Linked DNA regions of Schizosaccharomyces pombe. The protein of the gene in region 2 interacts with the protein of the main gene of each other region in a biochemical or structural test. Each region holds a gene or a part of one and is shown on either strand. Other genes may lie near its edges.

Region 1 (5,150 bases), 1.5 Mb from region 2:
CAGAACTTCCTATTTAACTTGCGAAAGCAGGGCGTGGGTAATAAATCGTTTACAGTTATAAGGTACCTGTTTATTTGTTTATTTGCTACGAAATCAGTGTATGGAGCAAAAAAGTATACAACATTTTTAAATTCAGCTCATATTGTACATTACTGTACACTGTATCTTTTATATATGGTACGACATAGAATAGAAAAAAGTGAAAGAGACGGCAACAACATCAGTGACGGCGCGCTTTTTCTTAAAATGTTACAAAAACTGGAGTAATTCATGTAAGGCTGTGAAATTGGCATGAGCTCGTCGAGAGCTTTCTTCAACTACTAGGCTCATTTAAAATTTACACCGCACCAATGTTTCTTTATTACTTACAATTGCCTCTCATCATAACTTTGAAAATACAATTTACCACAATACTAGTGATAACATAATATCATGCATTTTAATTTTCTTTATATGACCTATACAGATCCCCTAAAAAGAATATAGTAGGGATACTCGCACGACAGCTAAAAATATATAAGTTATATAATAATTTTGAATCAGAAGGAAGGCAACGGAAATATCCACACATTTTTTGCGCTCTCGGACATATATTTCATCCGCGTTATTTTCATCATTTTCAAAATCATTTATCTCTCACATACTTCAACCATTTCAAAGCTCACCACAAACCTGTATAGGAAATATAAAGAAACTTGATGCTTTACGTAAACACAATTCAGAACTTACAAAAACACAAAAGTGAAAACTTGGTATTTAAGTCGAAAGTCATACCATTCGTAAAAAGAGTGAAATTATAATGTGTAATAAACACAAGGTAAAACATTATGTTCATTAAACAAAATCAGGAGTTTGATTGTACAATTAGCAACCATATGAGAATAGCCGAATGAAAAGTTTCAAAACAATAAGTATCCATTAACAGAAGTATGACCCATTAACTAGTTTTGAAACTAAAGAATTTTACGAAGGTCAACAACATAATGCAAAATTAAAGCCAATTTCTCTGAATGGATTTAAATCATCATAATCATAAGCTTTTAATAAATTGTAAAAATTTAAAAAACCACGTCGGCATTTTTTTGATACCTTACATCATACCGGGCATTCCACCCATGCCACCCATTCCGGGAGGACCAGCAGGGGCCTTGGACTCTTCAGGAGCATCGACGATGGCACATTCGGTGGTACCCATTAATGAGGCGACTCCACTAGCATCAACTAAACCGGTACGTACGACCTTTAGGGGATCCAAAACACCAATTTCATTTAAATCAACAAAACGATCCTTAGCAATATCATAACCGATGTTAAATTCCTTGCCATAAAGCTCCTTAAGTTTACCAACAATCAAGTTACCCTCTAATCCAGCATTTTCAAGAATGGTTTGAGCGGGACGAGTGATAGCTTTGCGAACAATTTCGACGCCAAGCTTTTGATCAAAGTTATTTGTAGGAATGTCTCCTAAGCGAAGACTAGCCTTAACAAAAGAGGTACCAGCACCTGGGAGAACACCCTCGGAAACAGCAGCCTTAACAGCATTCAATGCATCAACAATACGGTCTTTCTTCTCGTTGACTTCAACTTCACTGGAGCCTCCAACCTTAATAACAGCAATACCACCGCTCAATTTGGCCAATCTCTCTTGAAGCTTTTCTTTTTCGTATTCAGTGAGATTAGGGTCGGCCATGACACCACGAATCTGTTCACAACGGTCGTTAACTTTAACATGGTCACCAGCACCTTTCATAATGATAGTGTCTTCCTTGGTGACAGTTACAGAGCCACAGCTACCCAAATGATGGGGTTGAGCCTTTTCGATGGAAACATCAATTTCATCATTGAACACGGCACTATCAGTCAAGACGGCTAAATCTCCAAGCATATTACGACGGTTGTCACCAAAGCCAGGGGCTTTAATAGCAACAACTTGTAATTGCCCACGAAGCTTGTTTAAGATACAAGCAGCCAAAGCTTCACCATCAACGTCCTCTGCGATGATAACTAAGGGACGACGCTGCTGAGCGGCAAGCTCCAAAGAGGGAAGAATGTCTTGGACAGCAGACACTTTCTTTTCAGAAAGAAGAATAAGAGGATTTTCAAATTCAACCTTTTGTGATTTGACATCGGTAATAAAGTAAGGAGAAATGTAACCACGATCAAACTTCATACCCTCAGTAACCTCTAATTCGTCGCTTATTGTGCGCCCTTCTTTGACGGTGATAACGCCTTCTTTACCAACACGTTCCATGGCTTTAGCAAGAAGCTCACCGATATGAGTGTCACCGTTAGCAGAGATGGTAGCGACTTGGGAAATCTCTTCAGAAGTAGTAATATCACGCTTATTGGCTTGCAAAAATTCGACGACGTTATCAACAGCAAGTTGAATTCCCCGGCGAAGGTCCATAGGGTTGCAACCGGCAGCCACGTTACGAACAGTCTCAGAAAAGATGGCACGAGTTAAAACAGTAGCAGTAGTGGTACCATCACCAGCAACTTCATTAGTCTTGCTTGCAACATCCTGAACTAGTCTTGCACCAAGGTTTTCGAATTTATCTTTCAAACTTACACTACGGGCGACAGTTACACCGTCCTTAGTGATTTTAGGGGAACCAAAAGGTTGGTCAATCAAGACATTACGGCCCTTTGGTCCCAAAGTTACAGATACGGCACGAGCAAGAGTATCGACACCGGTGAGTAAAGATGCGCGAGCATCAACACCAAATTTTAAGTCTTTAGCATATGTACGAACTTGAGGGACGGCAAATCTGCCGGGGATTCGACGACCAGCAATTCTTAAAGGTAGACGAGATACACTGGAAGAAAGGAAGCTCACCATTATGTTTAATTAATGAAATAAAATGAAGTTGTAAAAAATGGTTTTTTTTAATGCACCCAAAAAGAGATATAAAGAAATGTAAAGTTATCTAACGCAAATACAACCCACACGTTAGGAATATAACCAGCTAGCTGTCCCTGCAAAAATAAATGCTTGCAGCTTTTAGATATATTATTGGTTTTAAAATACGTGAAATACTCTTCACTATTTTCCGCTTAATGAAATTCCAAACAAGGCTAGGCAGACGATAAGTTAGCTATAATAGACATTATATATACTGTGACTGCCTGATATTCTAGAAAGAACTTTGATGGGATAAAGATTGACATGCCGGCAAATAGCCAATAGAAAAGCGACCAAATTTTAAGAATAGGTTTGGTAGCTTCTTGAAGAAAAATATCGAAAAATAGTGTATTGCATTGTTTATCGCTAAACGGCTTCTAAAAAATTAAAACATATAGAGCAAGAACGGGGAGCGTTTTCATTTAGTCGATTTACAGTCATTAAAACCTCTAAAAAAAATGCGGTGCTCGACTATGGTCAATGTGCCGTTTCTTCGTGATTATTCAAATAAGAAAGATCAACTCAATTTATCAAATTAAAAAGTCGTAAATGTTCTATACTTATTTAAAAAGTAATACTAAACGATACAGCAGATACGAGATACGTTTAGACAAAATCATCAAGTATCCACTAAAAACAGTGCGAAAAAAAATAATAATAACAAAAAAAAAATAGTGCAATCATATCTTGACGAAAAAAATCATACAAATGACAACCGAACTCTCATAATCGAAATTGAATTCTTTAACACATTATCAAATCAATAACACGGAAAAGAATTTAGGCACAATTAGCCAAACAGCCATTAAAATGAAGCCATCATTCGTAATAGTTAAAAACCGAGTGACACTAACGTGAACAAGCTGGGTCCGTACAAAACATATGAGATATAGAAATTGAAAAGGTATTGATAGTAACGAAAGGTCCTACACATAAGAACAAAACACAATCAAAACAACAAATTATTGCAAATAACACCATTAACATCCCACGTAAGATCGGTTATCGTAAATTTTATTTGAGACTTTTGCTGTATAGCTCAAGCATCGTATCCCAGTATACGAATCGTCAAACCGGATTTGCGATACAAAAGTTTAAAAAAATCTCACAAAAGAAAATTCCATTTTATTCCTCTCAAAATAATCATAAACGTGACTTTGAAGAGAGAAAAATATCATCTATTAAATTAAATCCTTTTCGTTTTACAAGAATCACATTATAGTTTAAAAGCATGAGCCCGATCACATGCACATCCGAAGTGAGTATGTAAACGATATAAGCATGAAAATCATGTCCTCAATTGAACACTAGGTCGTAAAAATGGATAATTCATTGAGATAATTTCACTCGTCGTTTTTATGTACAAAGTATAAATTTGCTTGAAAGCGCTTATTATCGTAAGGTAAATGAAACTTAATAAAACCCGAGACATAGCCAAAACAAGATTAATCAAAAGCAGGGAAAAACAAAAAATCCAAGACTAATTCTTTGTAAAAGTTCTGGATCCAATAGCACCGGTGTTTGATGGAGTAAGGCTTGCAAAATAATCGTTCATCGCACTACCGTTTAAAGTATTTGATGAATTAGTCGCATTGCGATCCAGTGGAGAGGAAACATTTAAATTAGCAAAAGGAGTAGCAAGTTCTAACGGAGTAGCTGGCATACTACGTATGTCGGAAAAGGCTTTAGAATCATTTAGTCCTCTGAGAGAACGTATGCTATCCGCAAGATGCATAGAGGGAGCGGGTCGTCTAAGACTTGAAAAATTACTAGAAAGACCACCGGACGAGAAAAGACCATTGTCAAATAAACCAGAGGAGCTCAAGTGATTTGCAAGACTTGGTTGGCTCAAATTGGAAGCACCTAAAGAAGAAGGATTTAAAGTACTGGCGTTTGGGGCCATCAAAGGAGAGTGGTTAGCACTCGAATTATTAGCGGGAGTAAAATGAGTACTAGGCATGGTAATAACCACTTGCTTAGCTTCACCGTCACCAGTAACTGAATGATTGAGATTGAGACGGGAAGCTAATAAGGCAGCAACCCGACGTTCTTCCTGGGTGGTTGAAGAATCAAATACAAGATCATTAGTGTTATCGCTGCGATAATAAAATAACAAGATATGAGAATATACATTGAGTATAGCTGGATCATTCAAATCAAAATCAATGCCAGCACCTATATTGGCAACAGAAAACGGAGATTTCAATTGATTTTTTCGTTCTTCTACAGCGCGTTTCTCTTGTTTACC
Region 2 (4,314 bases):
AGCCATTCCTGCGGGCTGATGGCAATTATAGATTAGTAAAAAAGATCAAGCAAGTTTACTTTTTTTTACGAACCTGATCATTTTCTTCGATGAATACTCCATATGCCACAGGAGTAACCTCGTCAATAAATCCAAATGCAACTTCTAAATTCGGAATTGTCGCTTCCACTTGATCTTCACATTTTTCAAATTCTTCATAAACAAAATGTTAAAACCGGTTTTTAAATAGTAACACAAACTGATCTGATAGCATGCGGACAGAAGTAGAGATCGACCCTGCTGACGAAAACCATATATTCTCAAATCCATATAAAAAGCTTAAGAGTAATCTCCAATTCAATAAGAGAATCAGACCCTGTGAGTCTGGGATACTGGCAAAAGCTCTAGCCTTTTAATAGAATCTACACGACTTCGTCCTCTTGGTCATAACGGCGCTTACCTGCCAATTCTTTAATAAACTGATAAACGGTCGGAAGATCTTCTTTAATGACAGAGCGAATGCGAACTGAACCCATGTTTTGAATTAATTGGTTTACTTGGTGTGCAGTGCTAACAGTAAATAATATGCGTGGCCTAATGGTAGTTTATTGTCTAGCGCACTTTAAACTGATGAGATCTCATCATATTATTTTTGGAATGCCAAATACGGGTAGAAACTAATCTAGTATGTTCCATTTACCTTTTTATGTTTGGGAATGAATAATCCGCTTTTCTACTGAACGATTATTAAATACTACCTTGAAAGCTAAAGCAACTCATAATAATGAAACATTAATTCAGTAAACAATTTAATAAACAGCATGGTATAATAAAGAATATTATAATAGTTTTTCGAAGTTATGGTATTTGTATTAATTAACATCTAAAAAAGTTGAAAGATGTAAACTTCCATTTAAAATAGCTCAGTTAAATCCATATTGCATTTATGCACTTTCCAAAAAAAAAATGATACCTGAGACTATGAGAGACATAAAAGAACGTAAAACAAGCCTGAACGGAAGCTATCCACTTAAATTGAATAAATTAGTAATAGATTAAGCAAGCATAAGTTATTTTAAATATGGTGATTAGAATGAACGCGTGTCTCAACGCAAACAAATCCTTTAATGATGTAGCGAATATGGCACAGGCAAATAAATGAAATACAGTGGCCTCAGAACGCAATGAGTAGAACATGAAGTGGAGAAATGATAAAAAAGAGAGTGGTTTTAAAAAACCAAAATTACTGGATGCAAAGAAATGCGTGTATGAACAAAAACAATCAATACGTTTGTTTCCCCCAATTTTCTGTAAATTTTATGAATCTTCAATTATTGTACCCAAATGTAAATGATGTTTGAAAGGATATTTTTGTATAATTTTTGAAATGGTAAGAAAGTCGGCTGCACTCAATAGTCCAACGGGCATATCGATGTTAATCCCACATTGGGTGAAGGAGGGTAATAGAGTTTCCGCACCTGGGCCTAAATAATAAATGGATTTTGAAAGTGATGTTGCTTTACATGTCAACAGTATCCTAACAATGCTTTCAAACACTGGAATAGACAATTGTTTATCTTGTGGTTTGGAGCACATTTCAACCAAAGTAAGGTCCTCTTTATGCGGTTCACTAGTAATTGGCGTGGGTGAAACTAATAAAGGATTTGGAGAAATTTGATAATTCTCCTTGGCCTCTTTACTATACCCCATACATAATTTTTGCAATGTTGACTCGGAGGCAGCTAATACACGAGAGTCTGTAAAGGCCTCTCGGAAAACTGATGTCTTGGATCTTTTTGAAAATCCCCTACTTCCAAGAAGAGTAACAGTAGGAGAACAGGGCAACCATAGCAATACACGAACTCTTCCAAAAATGCCAAGCCAATCCCTTGCCGAGAGAAAGTCTAAAATTTGAGAAACAAATAATAACCCGGCATAACCATGAGGAAGATGAGCAAAAAATAAAAGTTCGCGATGTGGTGATAACTTCTGCTCCTCTTCTGTTTGAATACGAGGATCCAAAACCTTCGAAACGTACACATCTTCGTAAGTTTGCCAATAATAACCATCTTGATGCACCCACTTAATCCTTCCATCAGAAAGCGTACACAATTTTTGTAAAGGTTTGGAAAAAACTTCCCGTGATTCTAGCACAACGTGACTTTTAGGTTGGAAGTAATTGAACAGCGAAGTGGTAGTCACTCCCGGTCCCGGTGCCATTTCTAAAATAGTCATTTTCTCCGAGTTGTATTCCTTAAGCAGATTGCTTTTCACAAGCGCTTCATCCATCAAATTCTGATTCACAAGATACGATGACTTATACGAAGAACGACCGTTTAGGTTTAATATCTTAACAAACCCCGTGGATCTTGGTCCTCCAAATGCAGCTGCGTCATATAAAATTTTAGGAAGCTTCATATTGATTATTTTAGCAATTGATTACTTTCTGCATAATTCGTATAAACAGTCCAAGATTGGTCAAATGACCTGTGATATATTCAATAACGAAAAATTGAAGACATTAATTTTTTTTCTAATTTTAAAAAAAGATGTCACCTTTACGCTTGCTTTCTTTTTCTGTTCATTTAAATGTGGTTAAACAACACATTCATATGCGCATTGTTCAGTCTAAAACATCACCATGTGCAAGTTTATTTAATGCTCGGCTTTAGTTAATTCATTCATAAACATTAACGAAGCCCATCAATTTTACGCAATACGAATTATGTATCCTGGTCAAATACGGTATTTCCAAGTAAACAAAACTATAGAAGTTATAGAAACTTTGAATAAACGTGTAATGTTGAATTAACTGGAAAAGAACGATGTTTTTCAAGTAAGGAAAACTGTTAACTACTCAACGCAAAGTAGAATAATACAATTTTTTACTTTTTGAACCAGTCATGCGAGCTGTCTATGATGATTAATTAATGGTAATAGCAATTGAAAAAAAAAATATTCAATCTCCAAGTTATAGCGCAACAATTGGATTGTGAAACTACCGCTTTAATGATGATATCTGTCACAACCGTAAGAACTGGATAATTGTAATTATTGGGAGCTAAATTCAGTTCATAACTTTAATTTACTTGCAAGATATAAGTTTAGGATGTATTCCATAAAAAACGGTGAAACGTATATATCAAACAAATTCTTAGTTCTCTTTTACTATCATATGGAACATGTAATCCATAATAAGTTCATTATTGGAATAAATAATCGCAACACAATGTGCCAGAACTATAGAAAGCCTAATAGGCGAATATAAATGAAAAAGTAAACGGAAAGTATCAATTGAAACATACTAGACATACTAGAATTCGTCAGAAACATAAACAAAAATTCGAAGCAATTCAAATTTATTCTTATCAATCATAAGCTTTAATCGTTTATATGAATCTTGAATGGCTCACTAGTAGAGTCCCCTCTAAAAGTGAATACTCTTTCCACACCAGGCAGCCATCATTGCTTCCTTAGTAGCCTCACTCAAAGTGGGATGGGCATGGCAAACACGAGCGACATCTTCAGCACTAGCTCCATATTCAAGAGCGAGAGTTGCTTCACCAATCAATTCACCAGCCATAGGGCCAATCATGTGTACTCCAAGTAAACGGTCGGTTTCCGCATCTACAATGACTTTAACAAGACCATCGGCATCCATATTGGTCTTGGCACGGGAATTGGCGGAAAAGGGGAAAGTGCCAATTCTATACTTAATACCGCTTTCTTTGGCCTTTTGTTCGGTAATACCAACCCAAGCAACTTCAGGATGAGTGTACATTACAGCGGGAATACAGTTGTAATTAACATGTCCCTGACCCTTTGCGATATACTCAACAGCGGCAATACCCTCATCTTCTGCCTTGTGAGCTAACATAGGACCAAGGGTAGCGTCACCAATCACACGGATATGGGGGATGTTAGTACGGTACTCACTATCCATAATTACTCTGTTGCTTTTATCCATAGAAATTCCAAGCTTATCGAGGCCAAGACCCTCAGTGTATGGAACACGGCCGATAGCAACCAACAAAACATCAGTCTGATAAGTTTCACGCTTGTTATTCTTCATATTCTCAATTTCAACCTCAACGCTGTCACCATTCACCTTGGCGCTAAGCAATTTGGTAGATGTCTTAAATTTGATACCTTGCTTAGAAATGATACGAGATAAAGCCTTGGAAATGTCTGCATCCATAGGACCTCCAACAGCTGGCAAAAACTCAACGACGGTAACCTCTGCACCAAGTCTTGACCATACACTGCCCATCTCCAATCCAATGATACCACCACCAAGAACGGTCATCTTTTTTGGGACCTCTGATAAAGATAAGG

What was found.
Region 1: the proteins of mtf1 (region 2) and mcp60 form a complex in vitro, tested with the Schizosaccharomyces pombe proteins (one study listed by BioGRID).

What each region holds. Positions count from the first base shown.
Region 1 is NC_003424.3:339,017-344,166, forward strand, and holds mcp60 (protein Mcp60), read right to left. Parts: upstream 3,082-5,150; 5' UTR 2,840-3,081; coding exon 1,091-2,839; 3' UTR 750-1,090; downstream 1-749. Other genes in the region: RNA-binding protein Cip2, read right to left, coding at 4,383-5,150. UniProt on the Schizosaccharomyces pombe protein: May participate in assembly and/or disassembly of proteins imported into the mitochondrion. HSP60 are ATPases and have affinity for unfolded proteins.
Region 2 is NC_003424.3:1,808,727-1,813,040, forward strand, and holds mtf1 (RNA polymerase-specificity factor Mtf1), read right to left. Parts: upstream 2,605-4,314; 5' UTR 2,398-2,604; coding exon 1,297-2,397; 3' UTR 754-1,296; downstream 1-753. Other genes in the region: SPOM_SPAC1002.07C (N-acetyltransferase Ats1), read right to left, coding at 1-15, 74-192, 440-515; dihydrolipoamide dehydrogenase Dld1, read right to left, coding at 3,407-4,314.